2 linked regions of the Anolis sagrei genome follow. The protein of the gene in region 1 interacts with the protein of each later gene in a biochemical or structural test. Links are inferred from orthologs where the notes say so. Each region holds a gene or a part of one and is shown in the gene's direction. Other genes may lie near its edges.

The links.
Region 2: of the proteins of PTPRC (region 1) and CSK, one has a biochemical effect on the other in vitro, tested with the Homo sapiens proteins (2 studies listed by IntAct). The link is inferred for Anolis sagrei from reciprocal best matches to the Homo sapiens genes PTPRC and CSK.

The regions. Positions count from the first base shown.
Region 1 is NC_090024.1:110,843,878-110,851,002, forward strand, and holds the start of PTPRC (receptor-type tyrosine-protein phosphatase C), read left to right. Parts: upstream 1-4,106; 5' UTR 4,107-4,194; intron 4,195-4,279; 5' UTR 4,280-4,332; coding exon 4,333-4,399; intron 4,400-7,125. UniProt on the Homo sapiens protein: Protein tyrosine-protein phosphatase required for T-cell activation through the antigen receptor. Acts as a positive regulator of T-cell coactivation upon binding to DPP4.
Region 2 is NC_090029.1:21,309,772-21,317,515, reverse strand, and holds the start of CSK (tyrosine-protein kinase CSK), read left to right. Parts: upstream 1-4,706; 5' UTR 4,707-4,731; coding exon 4,732-4,809; intron 4,810-7,744. UniProt on the Homo sapiens protein: Non-receptor tyrosine-protein kinase that plays an important role in the regulation of cell growth, differentiation, migration and immune response.

The DNA.
Region 1 (7,125 bases):
GATCAGACAGAGAAAAACGGATTAAATAAGAGTCACTTTATTTATCCTAAAAACTATTTAATTTTCATTGAATTTGGTAAGGACCAAGAGATGGGAGTGATCAGGTGTCCAACTGTGGCCTAGTGTCAATCCCTGACAACTTCCTGATCCTTTCCTAAGCTCTGAGGACAATGCAACAATTGATTTGCTCCCTGGCTGGCTATTGACTGGAGGGTAAATTAATGAGAACTCCCACCCAAGTCCCATGACTTATAAAATAAGAGCAAACCCCAGATCAGCCTCAATGGTAGAAAGCTCTTCCCCATCTCCTGGGATTCAGAACCTAAAGAGGCAGTTCCAGAACCCTATTGTCACGTTGTCAGGGCTCTATCTTGTTTAGGTAGAGATGAATCAAAACTCCCAGTTTAAACAAACAGTTTAATTAAAACAGCATGTACAGAATGTGCGAACCAATTGTATAGGTGTGGATGATTATGGAGGGAATTAATCTCAGGCCTCAATTGTGTATAAGAATATATTATAGAGGAGGCCAATTATTATTTGTAAATTAAGGTAACTTCCACCAACGTGAGGTATTTGAGGTACCACCGATGAGATCTGGCTCTACAGACGCAGATTAATTGAGATGAGATGGTCTTCAACAAAAGATAACAAGTTTATTGTGTACAAAGCGTATGGTTGCAGGCTGTTAAATAACTTATAGAACTTTGAATATCACTTGGTTTGTAATACAGTCCACTCTTCCAGATGACACAGCTCGTGGCTAACTTTTACTGAGGTGAAGCTCTTTAGTGAACAATGTTTCCTAATATGAATAGCCTTCCAATTTGATCTTTCCTTGATCAAATCTCTGATCTCTAGCCCTTCCTTGACTAGGGATCTTAACAGGCTTCCTTTAGTCTTCTTTGACTAAAGAAACTGGCCAGGTTTCTCTCTTCAGCCCTCCTAGACTGAAAAACCTCCAGTTGCCCACACACACCTCTCTCCCAAGCTTTTCAAGCCTCCACTCTGCCCCTTTTCCAAAGACGCACATAACTTTTCCTGCTTGGCTCCGCCCACTTCTCACTCTCCTGAGCTATCCTGCCTGGTCTCCTTGGCAACACTCACTGTGGATTCAAACCAGACAACTCTAGTTTTAGCTACTGTTACAAACACAAATATATACTCTAACAGTTAAACACATACATAGTATCAATGATTTCTGCACAAGCACTTACTTGCTGGCTGTTTTTATAGTCCAAAATATAAAACACAAAGATAACACGCAGCTACAGAATAAACAAAACTGATAGCAAAAATAACTTCGTAGTTGAAAGTGTCCAGTCCAATGGTCAAATGCCGAGAGTTCAATAACAGAGTCCAGGGGTCAAGAGTATACCATAGTCAAAAGCCAGTCCAAAGGTTCAAGGTTCCAGGATTCCAAGATTACAGGTCAGGACACCGAAAATCCAACAGACCTGGGGAAAAAACCAACAATATCCACCACCAAAATGCAACAAATACTTTTCTCCCAAAGATCAGTGCCAAGGCTAGCTCCTTATATCCAGAAACACTCAGCTGCAACCCATCTCTTGCATACCTCCACCCTTAATTGCTTTCACCCATGAGCTCCCACTTACAGATTACCAAACCCTCTAGAACTAATACATTAATCCTTCCATCACCAACCATCAACTGCAGAACATATGACACCTATCCTTCACTACAAGGATGCCAAGGTGTACACTGAAGACATATTACCCCCCCCCCAAAAAAAAACAACAACATACACACACACACACACACACACACTACCTGCCAGGAACAAAGAACAAGCATCTGCTTAGTCTGTTTTCTGAACCCAGATATCCAACATGGCCCTCACTTCAAGTTACTCTCTTCTGTATAGACCTGGCCACTAGAAAACTATGATAAGATGAGGGAGAAAGTGGCCGAACCCCTTAAACAAAACATTCCCGATTTCTCTATTTACCCTTCTATGGGCAAAATCAAGTTGCCAAACTTAGTGGGGCAAAATATCGGAATTATCATACAAAGATTAATCCTAGCCATTTACTCTGTATGAACTGAAAATCATGCAGGACCAATAGAATGAGGGCAAGGTGATCTCATTCTTATCAAAGTAAATGACAGAAATGTGAAGAAGGAACCCAGTGTACTTCTCAAACAATGAAGGACTCTTTCCTCAAGACTTCAGGTCCTTGGAGAATCTGAGGCAGGGAGTGTGAAGGAAGTTGGGAGAATGTGTAAAAATTCCATTGCTTGAAATTGAAGAAAGTCCTGATTCCTATTACTCTTTCTGCCAATTAGTGACTGTATGGTGCTTTTCCAACAGAATAAGGAAAGTGGTTAGGAGAAGCTAAAAATTCCCGATCCCCATGCCAGCAGCTTTCTAGTCCTCTCCTGTGGCATGGAAAGTGGAAGAGTTTGGTAGAAGTGAAAAAGAGGGGTTGTTTTTGCATCTGTGGCAATGGCTCCTTGATCATGATGGTAATTTTTGGCACTTCCTTGCTGGGTTGTGGAAAGTGGAAGAGGCTGTAAGAAGTTGAAAAAAGCCCAAATCCCCTCTAAACTATCTACCATAGTGGGGTTTTTTTGGGGTGTTTTTTCACTGGAACAGTAGTAGTGGAGGGCGTCAGTGGTTCTTTTACGTTCTCTAGGAACATTCAAAAGCTAGCCTTGAGAACTTTACCTCTCTGTGGAGAACCTAAAAGAACCACCAACTTCTTCTACTCAAGGTATCCATAGATCATATCACAAACCATAATTTTGGCCCCCAAATCTGACCTTGACTTATACAGAAACATTCTATAGGTAAAAAACATACAGTTGGAATAACATTTCAATACCCATTTAAAATATTGCCTTTGTGCTATATTTCTGCACACATTGCGTAAAATTATGTTTCATTGAACTCAGGTCTGAGAATGCTATAAATCCAAGGAATTATCCTTGTTCTCAGATGAATTATACCTTAAAAGTGATTGACTTCTAAGACATGAGTCCCCAGGTATTTTTACATTTTAATTCCCATCATCCACAACTAACAGAAAAAGATGAGGGATATGCTAGGTGTGGATAAACAATCTCAAGGAACCCAAACTTAATGAATATATATATATATATTACTAGCCACCCCCTGCCACGCGTTGCTGTGGTGCACATGGGGGTTCTGTGTGGGAGGTTTGGCCCAATTGTATTGTTGGTGGGATTCAGAATGCTCTGTGTTTGTAGGTGAACTATAAATCCCAGAAACTACAACTCCCGACTGTCAAGATTCTATTTCCCCCAAACTCTACCAGTGTTCACATTTGGGCATATTGAGTATTCGTGTAGAGTTTGGTCCAGAACCATCATTGTTTGCGTCCACAGTGCTCTCTGGATGTAGGTGAACTACAACTCCAAAACCAAAGGACACTGCCCACCAAACCCTTCCAGTATTTTCTATGGTCATGGGAGAACTGTGTGCCAAGTTTGGTCCAATTCTATTGTTGATGGGGTTCAGAATGCTCTTTGATTGAAGGTGAAGTATAAATCCCAGCAACTACAACTCCCAAATGACATAATCATTTTTTTTAGTGAAGGACATACATTGGGTTGTTAGGTGTCTTGTGTCCAAATTTGGTGTCAATTCCCCCAGTGGTTTTTGAGTTCTGTTAATATCACAAACGAACATTACATTTTTATTTATATAGATTTTCATTGGGGGTTTTTGTCCAGCTCTGCTTTAAGCAACAAGTGAGCACTTTAAGGTGGCATCAAGTAGTCTACTGAGGTCGTGTTAGTAAAGCATACTGAGATCTTATTTCCTCAGTGTTATGGAAAAGCTGGTATGGTGCTCATTTTGTGTAGGAACTGAGTTCTTGTTTTCTCTAAAAGAAAGCAAGCAGTGGGGACACAATTTGAAAGAGAAACCCTTCTCAGTTCTTCAGAAACTCTGGTAGCATCTGTTTTTCAACCAGGAAGTCAGTCTCTGTAACATCTTTAGAAAACTTTGTGACTTCCTGGAAACGAAGAAGAAGAAGAAGAAGAAGAAGAAGAAGAAGAAGAAGAAGAAGAAGAAGACAACTGCGTTTTAGGGAAGTGTGAGCAAAATTGTCTGTGACGTCATTTGGCTGAAGAGTGTGACTGCGGTTGGTTAGTTTCTGGGTGACAGAGGAAGCTGCTCACCGGATGATAAGGAGACATTGCAATGTATGCTCATAGTATATTCTGCATTTGATTTGGACCGTGGCAAGGCCTTTGCACCAAGCTATAACAATTATTTTGCCTTCCATAGACAGGCACACACATGCTGTTTAGTAAGAATACACCCAATCCGTGGATATAACCATGCTTTTGTGGCTTAAACTCTTGGCCTTTGGCTTGGCCCTTGTGGACGTGGGTGTTTTTGGAAAAGGTAAGAGAGTCATGACTTATTCATTCCTTTTGGAGCTGTAAAATCTTCTTGAAAACAGCAGTAACAACAAAGCCGTGTTGAATTGTTAGAGGACTAAATGTTGAAAATCGCAGGTCTGCTTCTGAAATATTTCTGTGTTCCCAGGAAAGTTGGAGAGTGTCAGAACATTTGCAAGCTGGTGTCTTTGGCATTTTATGTATCTATTTGGGTGCAGTAATTTTTTTCAGTGCAGTGTTCATAACTTAGTTGCAGAATGCTATGCAATTTACATGTACTCCTAAGTAGAGAAAACAATGTAGAAATAATTTCCTGAAACTGGCCATTTGAAACACACTATTGGGGAATAGCACCCATAAAGGGAGCCCCCGGTGGCACAGTGGGTTAAACCCCTGTGCCGGCAGGACTGAAGACCAACAGGTTGCAGGTTCAAATCCGGGGAGAGGCAGATGAGCTCCCTCTATCAGCTCCAGCTCCTCATGCGGGGACATGAGAGAAGCCTCCCACAAGGTGATAAAACATCAAATCATCCAGGCATCCCCTGGGCAATGTCCTTGCAGACGGCCAATTCTCTCACACCAGAAGCGACTTGCAATTTCTCAAGTCGCTACTGACATGACAAAAAACAAACAAACTCATAAAGACATCCAATTTATTTCATAAGGAGATCTCCCTATCCAGCTTGGATAGCTATGTAATTAATAACAGCAGCATGTTTGTTACTTTTTGATATTTATTATTATTATTATTATTATTATTATTATTATTATTATTTGAAACACAACAAGATGAGGCCACAGCAAACAAGATCACTCTATTAGCTGTTGTATTGGATCACACGTCGGACGCTTTCCAAGTGTCTACAACTATGTGATGTATCAGCAAATAATGCATGCAGATCCAAGTAAGGTGGCCTTCTGCAGCTGGCAGATGGTAATTTTGTCAGCGGCAATTGTGTTTAAGTGCAGGCCAAGGTCTTTAGGCACTGCAGCCAGTGTGCCGATCACCACTGGGACCACCTTGACTGGCTTGTGTCAGAGTCTTTGCAGTTCGATCTTTAAATCCTCATATTGTGTCAGCTTTTCCAGTGGTTTCTTTTCAATCCTGTTGTCGCCTGGGATTGCAACATCAACGATCCATATTTTGTTTTGTTTTTTAACAATTATTATTATTATTATTATTAGTAGTAGTAGTAGTAGCGACAGCAGCAGATTTATTTCACATTGGTCAGGTTAAGTTTCTCTATACTATGTAGCATCCGAGTTGTCTGCATTGTGAAAATATTCACGGTGAACCGGAAGCCGCAATATTTCAAATCAAAGATCTGGAGAAGAAATTTTAATTTATTTTTTTTAAAAAAAGGAAACATTTAGTCTTTAGCATTTCAGTCAAACACATATAGCATTTGGATTATTTATTTATTTATTTATTTATTTAGAACTTTTATATACCGGTCTTCTCACCTCCGACGAGGGACTCAGGCCGGTTTACTAATTAGAAAGGCTTATTTTCAGACATTCCATTAGAGAGTTTTGTTTTACATTTTTTTCAAAGTAAATGTCATGTAAAAGCAATAATATAATACAATTTCCCTTCTCTCTCCTTTAACAATTGACTTTGCTTGCTATCAGTCTTTGAGCCACTCCCTGTTCTCAGATCCTGTATTTAGTTCCTCATCTTTCAAGCTCTGATGCATCAAATATCTTATTTTGAAAAAAAAAATCTGATCACATTATGCATCATCTTGGATATAATTTTAACTATTGGGAATTTGTCTAAACTTACTGGAAAATTTGCTTCCTAAGTACTGACGCTACTGGTGCGGCTTTTTAAAATTTCATCCAACAAGGGTTTCTACTTTCTCTTGAAATCCCATCTAAGAAATCTGATTCCCTATTTATTTATTTACTAATTTATCATATGTATTTATTCCCCACTTTTCTGCTAAATTCTAGTAGCAACCCTTAATCTGGTAGCCAAGGACATCATATTTCCATCACAAAGCTTTATAGGTCCGATACGATTTTTTCAGAGGGTGGTTTGTGAGCTTCTTACTGTTGAAGTATAAGAAACTTGAATGGATCCCAGGGTCAAAGTTTTGTCCCTGGCTTGGGAGTTTATGATTAAGGACTGAAAAAGAAAGAAATAAGGAAGTTTAAAACACAGAGAAATAGCAAGAGGTCCACATCTGGTTTTTAAAAGTTTGTATTTTGGGATGTTAAGCGTATCAAACACAGCAAACTCTATATTCCTTCCAAACCGGGATTCTCAGATGTCTGCTTATTTACTTTTTCAAGTAAACATAATCTACTAGTGTAAACTGTAAGGAGATATCTTTGTATGATAGGTGTTATCCAGATAATAAATAATCAAGCAGGGGGAAAGAGACCATTGCTTCATTCTTATACTTTATATTATCCAGGAGTTGTGACTCTCCTACTTTTTGGGGAAATCTGTTCCATAGTTTATAGGTCCACTGTCAGTTTCAGTGTCATGAACCTTCAAGCCATTCATTGCATTATGTTGACCCGATAAAGCCATAGGGTTTTCTTAGGCAAGAAATATTCAGAGGTGGCTTTCTCAGCTCTTTCCTCTGAAATATCATCTATAGTACCTGGTGGTTTTCTAGAGCTTACCCTGTCATATAAAATCTGCTGCCTTTGGGATATTTAGGCCCTTGAGCATTATCGTTCTGGAAATAAAGCCCGACTGCTCATTGGAGAGAAGGA
Region 2 (7,744 bases), on another chromosome or scaffold:
TGTACTGGAAAAGCTTTTGTTTGTTGAGTTATTGGAGGAGACAAGGCTTTGTGCAGTGTTTGCACTGGGAAATTAACAGGGACGCTTGGAGAAAGCTAATCGTTTGGGCCAGCCAGAGTATTATTATTATTATTATTATTTATTTTTATTACAATTCTTCAATGTGGGTGTGCTCAGGCTTAATTTGACATGACATTTTCTTAGCTAATCATTTGAGGCTGCTTGATTATTATTATTATTATTATTATTATTATTATTTGTGGATGTGATCACGCTTAATCTGACATGACTTTTCTCAGCTAATCATTTGGGCTGGCTTGAATATTATTATTATTATTATTATTATTATTATTATTATATGTGGATGTGATCAGGTTCATTCTGACGTGACTTTTCTCGGATAATCTTTTGGGGCTGCTTTATTATTGTTATTATTATTATTATTATTCTATGTGGATGTGATCAGGCTTAATCTGACATGACTTTTCTCAGCTAATCATTTGGGCTGGCTTTATTATTATTATTATTATTATTATTTTACTGACACAAAAACACAGTATGTCACAGCAAACAAGATCTATACGCTGGATTTCGTATCACAAAATCATAAGTCAAACACTTCCCAAAAGTCTAGGGCTGTGTGATGTATTTTTGAATAATGCATGCAGGTCCAAGTCAGGTGACCTTTTATTATTATTATTATTATTATTATTATTATTATATGTGGATGTGATCAGGCTTAATCTGGTGTGACATTTTCTCAGATAATCATTTGTGCCATCTTGATTTATATTATTATTATTATTAAGTGTGGATGTGATCAGGCTTAATCTGGCATGACATTTTCTCAGCTAATTGTTTGAGCCAGCCAGAGTATTATTATTATTATTATTATTATTATTATTATTATTATTATTAGGAGCCTCTGGTGGTGCAGCCGGTTAAGCCACTGAGCTGCTGAACTTACTGACTGAAAGGTCAGTGGTTCAAATCCAGGGAATAGGGTGAGCTCTTGCTGTTAGCCCCAGCTTCTGCTAACCTTGAAGTTCAAAACCATGCAGCCCCACCAATGATTGAATTGGACCAAACTTCCCACACAGAATCCCCATGCCTTGAAGGGACTCGCTGGCATGCACCTCCCTCCAGCCTCACATGCTCTCCCTTTCCCGCATATGCTGCCATGCACTGAGCACACCTGTTCTCCTTTCCCCGATTAGAGTCTCTGCTGAGAGTCCAGCCAATCCTAGCGGAGGAGGGCTTTTGGTGGGAGGATTCACCATCTGTTTCCAAAAAGGAAGAGAAGGACAGGCGGAGAGATCTTCAGCCTTCTCTGCCAAAGGGACACCTAAGGCCATCAGAAATATGTGTTTCCTGATGGTCTTTAATGTCCCCTCTGAACCCCCCCCCCGGGGTCCCGACCCCCAGATTGAGAAGCGCTTTAGCCACACGTTGACACGCAAACCACAGTTTCTTTGTATGGAACTGGCCTGTCCATAGAAATTCAAGACGTAACAAGAAGCCACTGTGTAAACAAGCCAGAACTCTCAAACTAATAAGCCTTGATTTCCAATTAATGGCCTAGCAAACCATGGCTTGTGAATGGGAACGGGTTCCGAGGCAACAGCAAACCAGCCTCTATCAAATCTCAACCTGGTTTATGGTCCAAATTCAAATTATTTACGTAAATGGAAGGGTAAAATAAAAGCCACTGTCCAGACAGGTAGATAAATAAAACCCTGACCAGAAAACTCCAGAATGCAACGTTTCCATTGACAGGCAACTTCTTACCCAATGAAGCATGCAAACAGAATGGAGAAATTCCTGTTGGATTCCTGAAATAGTTGCAAAGAGTTTTTTGATGCCCAAAGGCCGGTCTTTACCTGTTTTTGTTTTTCCGCTCTCTTTCTTCCCAATGGCAACTTCCTCCTTTGTTTTATTGGGCAACGACGACGTAAATGCTAATGATCCAGAGCGATGCAAACGCGGAACCTTAACCCTTGAATATTTTAATAGGGGGCAAGGAAAACCAATTAGATAAAAACAGTGAAGGTAAATGTACGCAGCATTGATCCATTGCAGTGAAAGTGGTGTCAGGCTGCATTCATCCTCCAGTGTAGATGCAGCCCAGGATGTCCAGATTCAGGACGAGATCCTGCTGACCTCTTTTCCAAAACGCAGCCTTGGCTTTCTTATAAGATAAGCATCGGCATAAATCTCCCGTGCAATGCTGTCCCAGCCCTTTCCTCATTGACTACAGGGTGAATCTTGTTTTCTTTCTGGTCTGTTTGCAAGCAATTCAATTACTTACCGATTAGAGCAAGTCAAAACTTAATTTGCGAATGGCTTGGAGACAGGAGGACCAAAGGCGCTCGGCTTTGTTTCCTTTCGTGTAACGCTGGGCCCTACGTTGATTGGAGGTGCTGGATTACACACTCCAAACCAGTGGTTCTCCACCTTCCTAATGCTGTGACCCCTTAATCCAGTTCTTCATGTTGTGGTGACTCCCAACCATAACATTATTTTCGTTGCTACTCCACAGCTGCAATTTTGCTACTCTTATGAATCATAATGTAAATATCTGATAGGCAGGATGTATTTTCATTCACTGGACCAAATTGGGCACAAATACCCAATATGCCAAAATTTGAATACTGGCAGGATGGGGGGGGGGAGGGGTATTTTGTCATTTGGGAATTGTAGTTGCTGGGATTTATAGTTCACCTACAATCAATAATAAATAAATAAATAAATAAATAAACTTTATTTATACCCCACCACCATCTCCCCAGTCGTGACATGGAGCGGCTTAGATGAGGCCAAGCCCAAGCAACAAGTTAAAATAAAAATAAAACATCAATAGGAGCATAGTGTCTAGATCTAGGGAAGTCATGCTCCCCATGCTGTATTCCTCTTTGGTTAGACCACACCTGGAATATTGTGTCCAATTCTGGGCACCACAATTCAAGAGAGATATTGACAACCTGGAATGTGTCCAGAGGAGGGCGACTAAAATGATCAAGGGTCTGGAGAACAAACCCTATGAGGAGCGGCTTAAGGAGCTGGGTATGTTTAGCCTGAAGAAGAGAAGGCTGAGGGGAGATATGATAGCCATGTATAAATATGTGAGAGGAAGCCACAGGGAGGAGGGAGCAAGCTTGTTTTCTGCTTCCCTGGAGACTAGGACGCAGAACAATGGCTTCAAACTACAAGAGAGGAGATTCGATCTGAACACGAGGAAGAACTTCCTGACTGTGAGAGCCGTTCAGCAGTAGAACTCACTGCCCCAGAGTGTGGTGGAGGCTCCTTCTTTGGAAGCTTTTAAACAGAGGCTGGATGGCCATCTGTCAGGGGTGATTTGAATGCAATATTCCTGCTTCTTGGCAGGGGGTTGGACTGGATGGCCCATGAGATCTCTTCCAACTCTTTGATTCTATGATTCTATGAAACCAAAACACAACCGAAAATGCGAACAGCAACATCATAATAAAATAAAACATGTAAATACATAACAATGTAAAGTTACAATAGACGCAATCACAATGACAATGGGCAGGCTGCATGTAATGATTAAAAGAGAGACTAATTAAAACTAATTTAAAACTCGGGCGAGATAAAAAGAGACAGATTATAGCGGGGGTTGAGGAATCAAGCTTTCCCACAGAGGGGGGGACGGGACGACATATACTTCAATGACAGAATGTTGAGGCTAAGCAGTAATGTGGGGTTGTATACCTATTCTCCAAAGGCGCAGCAGAAGAGCCAGGTTTTAAGATCCTTAAATTCCATTATTGGTGGAGTTCAGAATGCTCTTTGATTGTAGGCTGACTATAAATCCCAGCAACTACAACTCCCAAATGACAAAATCAATTTTTTGAGTGATGATCACTCCTTGGGTTAGGAGTTGTCTTGTGGCCAAATTTGGTGGCAATTTGTCCAGTGATTGTTGAGTTATGTTAATCCCACAAATGAACATTACATTTTTATTTATATAGAATAGCCGTCCACTGCCATGCGTTGCTGTGGCCCAGTCGATGTATATGTTTTGTGTGTGTATATATTTGTATATATGTGTGTTTGCGTATATGTGTGTGTGTGTGTATGTGTATATATATGTGTGTGTATATATAGGGTTTTGCGTATGCATTGTAATGTAATTTTTGTAGGGGGTTTTGGCTTTTCAAGTGTCTTCTGCTGTGTTTTTCAGTGTTTTTCTGAATGATGGTCACTCGTTGGCCTGAGAGGTGCATTGTCCCAAATTTGGTGTCAATTTGTCCAGTGGTTTTTAAGTTATGCTAATCCAACAAACGAACATTACATTTTTATTTATAGAGATTGTTGGGGCACCAGCATTATTCTTTAGTAGAGCAGGCTTGCAAAACGACAGCTCCTCTGATACCAAGGCAGTTATAGAGTGCTCAAACTGCATCAATTCCGCAGTGTAGATGCACCTGTGGCTCTCCGAAGAGGGCACCAAAATTGAAATAATCCCTCTCCGGTGTCCTTGTGTGCCACATCTGGATGCCAAGCAGAGAAGCAAGCGGGTGAAGGATTATTCCGCAGTCCCGGCTTCCCTTTCTGCTGCAGCCGTCCCCCCCCCCCCCTCCGCTTCCATCAAAGCTTCCATCCTCCCCGGGGAAAACCGCAAGAGAGGAGAGGATGTGAATTATTATTACTCTTGGGAAGGGGGGGACATCGGGGAGGGACCTCGATGGGGGGCCGTGACCCGTTTCCATGCCATCAGCGGTGGCGGTGCCCCGGCGTTCCTGGTTACATAACCCCAAGATGCGGCTCAGCCTCTGTTCGGGTCTCGTAAGTCCTCCCTCCCCTCCTCCTTTCCCTCTTTCTTTCTTTCTCTCCATCCCTCTTTCAGGCTTCCTTGTTTGGCCTGGAGAGGAGGCCAGTGGAACCCCACCTTGGGATGCCTTCGGGATTGCAATTGGGTTGCATCTCAATTCCGTTGTGCTGATGCTGGCATTCTGGCTGATGCCAGAAAGCAAGCTGTATGCATGTATGATTTTCGCCTGGAACGTTTCCGTCCTTTATTTAAAAGGCCTGGAATTTCCATCCCTGCAAATAGAAAGCCATTGCTTCTCTTCCAACTCTATGATTCTAGGACTTTCTTTTGGTGGCCCCAGGCCTCTCACATCAAGAATCCAGGGATCCATTAAGGGTGGTGGAGGGGGGAGATGAGCTTTACCTACTATATCAGTGTTTCTCAACCTGGGGGTCGGAACCCCTGGGAGGGTCGTGAGGGGGTGTCAGAGGGGTCATGGGGGTTCTGTGTGGGAAATATGGCCCAATTCTATCGCTGGTGGAGTTCAAGGGGCTCTTTGATTAGAGGTGAACTATAAATTCCAGCAACTATAACTCCCAAATAACAAGTTCTATTTTCTCCAAACTCCACCAGTATTCGCATTGGGACATATTGAGTATTTGTGCCAAGTCCACAGTGCTCTCTGGATGTAGGTGAACTACAACTCCCAAACTCAAGGTCTATGCCTACCAAACGCTTTCAGTATTTTTTTTGTTGGTCATGGGAGTTCTGTGTGCCAAGTTTGGTTCAATTCTATTGCTGGTGGAGTTCAGAATGCTCTTTGTTTGTAGGTGAACTATAAATCCCAGCAACTACAACTCTTTAATATCAAGGTGTATTTTCCCCAAACTCCACCAGCGTTTGACCATATTGAGTATTCGTGTAGAGTTTGGTCCAGATCCATCATTCTTTGAGTCCATAGTGCTCTCTGGATGTAGGTGAACTACAACTCCCAAACTCAAAGCCAATGCCCACCAAACCCTTCCAGTACTTTCTGTTGGAGTTCTCTGTGCCAAGTTTGGTTCACTTCCATCATTGGTGAAGTTCAGAATGCTCTTGGATTATAGTGAACTATAAATCCCAGGAACTACAACTCCCAAATAACAAAATCAACCCCCCCCCCAACCCCACCAGTATTCAAATTTGGATGTATTGGGTATCTGTGCCAAATCTGGTTCAGTGAATGAAAATACATATTATTTTACGCTGATATTATTTTTATTACATGTATTATTTTACTCTAATTATTATTATTATTATTATTATTATTATTATTATAACAGTTATCATTTTACTCTATTATTACATTATTGTTTTACTGTACTATTATTATTACTCTATTATTACTGTTATTATTACATTTCCATTATTTTAACTCTATTATAATTATAATTATTATTATTATTATTATTACATTTATCATTTTACTCTATTATTATTTTACTTTACTATTGTTATTATTACTCTATTATTGCTGTTATTATTACATTTCCATTATTTTAACCCTATTATTATTATTATTAGTATTACATATATGTTTATTATTATTGGAAGGATACATAAAGCACATTGAAGATGCTTAGAATCAGAGTTGGACAGTCTTATCTAAAAGATAGTGTTATGTATATATTCAAAAACATTTAACCTTCTGATGCCTCAATTAATGTAATTTTATTGGTGTCCATTTTTCTTTTGAAATTTACCATTTGCTGCTGCATTTCCCACTCTCAGCTTATAATCAAGACAATATGTTTTCCCAGTTTTTGTGGTAAAATTAGGTGCCTCAGTTTATAATTGGGTCGGCTTATACTTGAGTATATACGGTAATATCTCAAATACTCTTTCCTTATGTTCTTTCATCTCCTGTCCTCATGGGAAGGGATTGCAACCATCTTGAAAGTGAGGAATTATTATTATTATTATTAGTAATAGTAGTAGTAGTAGTAGTATATCACTCCAAAATACTCTTTCTTTATGTCCTTCCATCTCCTGTCCTTATGGGAAAACGTTGCATTCATCCTGATATAATACACCAAGGAATTATACTTATTAGGGTTGTTATTATTATTATTCATAATAATAATAATAATAATAATAATAATAATAAATGTATTAATATCTCACCCCCAAATATTATTTCCTTCCATCTCCTGTCCTCATGGGAAAACATTGCATCTATCCTGATAGTTAATTCAAAGAATACAGTAAGGAATTAATAATAATAAGAAGAAGAAGAAGAAGAAGAAAAAGATCTCACCCCAAAATACTATTTTTTTTATTTCCTTCGATCTCCTTTCCTTATGCAAAAATGTTGCATTCATCCTGATAGAATACAGTGAGGAATTATTATTAATATTGTTATTATTATTCATAATAATAATAATAATAATAATAATAAATGTATTAATATCTCACCCCCAAATATTATTTCCTTCCATCTCCTGTCCTCATGGGAAAGAAAACATTGCATCCATCCTGATAGGTAAGTCAAAGAATACAGTGAGGAATTATTATTATTATTATTATTATTATTAATACTAATACTACTACTACTACTAATAATAATCTATATAAATAAAAATGTAATGTTGTGGGATTAACAGAACTCAAAAACCACTGGACGAATTGACACCAAATTTGGACTGGACGAATTGACACCAAATTTGGACACCAAATTTGTGTCTTGTGTCTTGGACACAAGACACCTAACAACCCAATGTATGTCCTTCACTAAAAAAAAAATTGATTTTGTCATTTAGGAGTTGTAGTTGCTGGGATTTATAGTTCACCTACAATCAAAGAGCATTCTAAACCCCACCAACCATGGAATTGAATGCAACACTATTATTTTGTTTGGTGGGAAGTGTCCTTTGGTTTTGGAGTTGTAGTTCACCTACATCCAGAGATCACTGTGGACTCAAACAATAATGG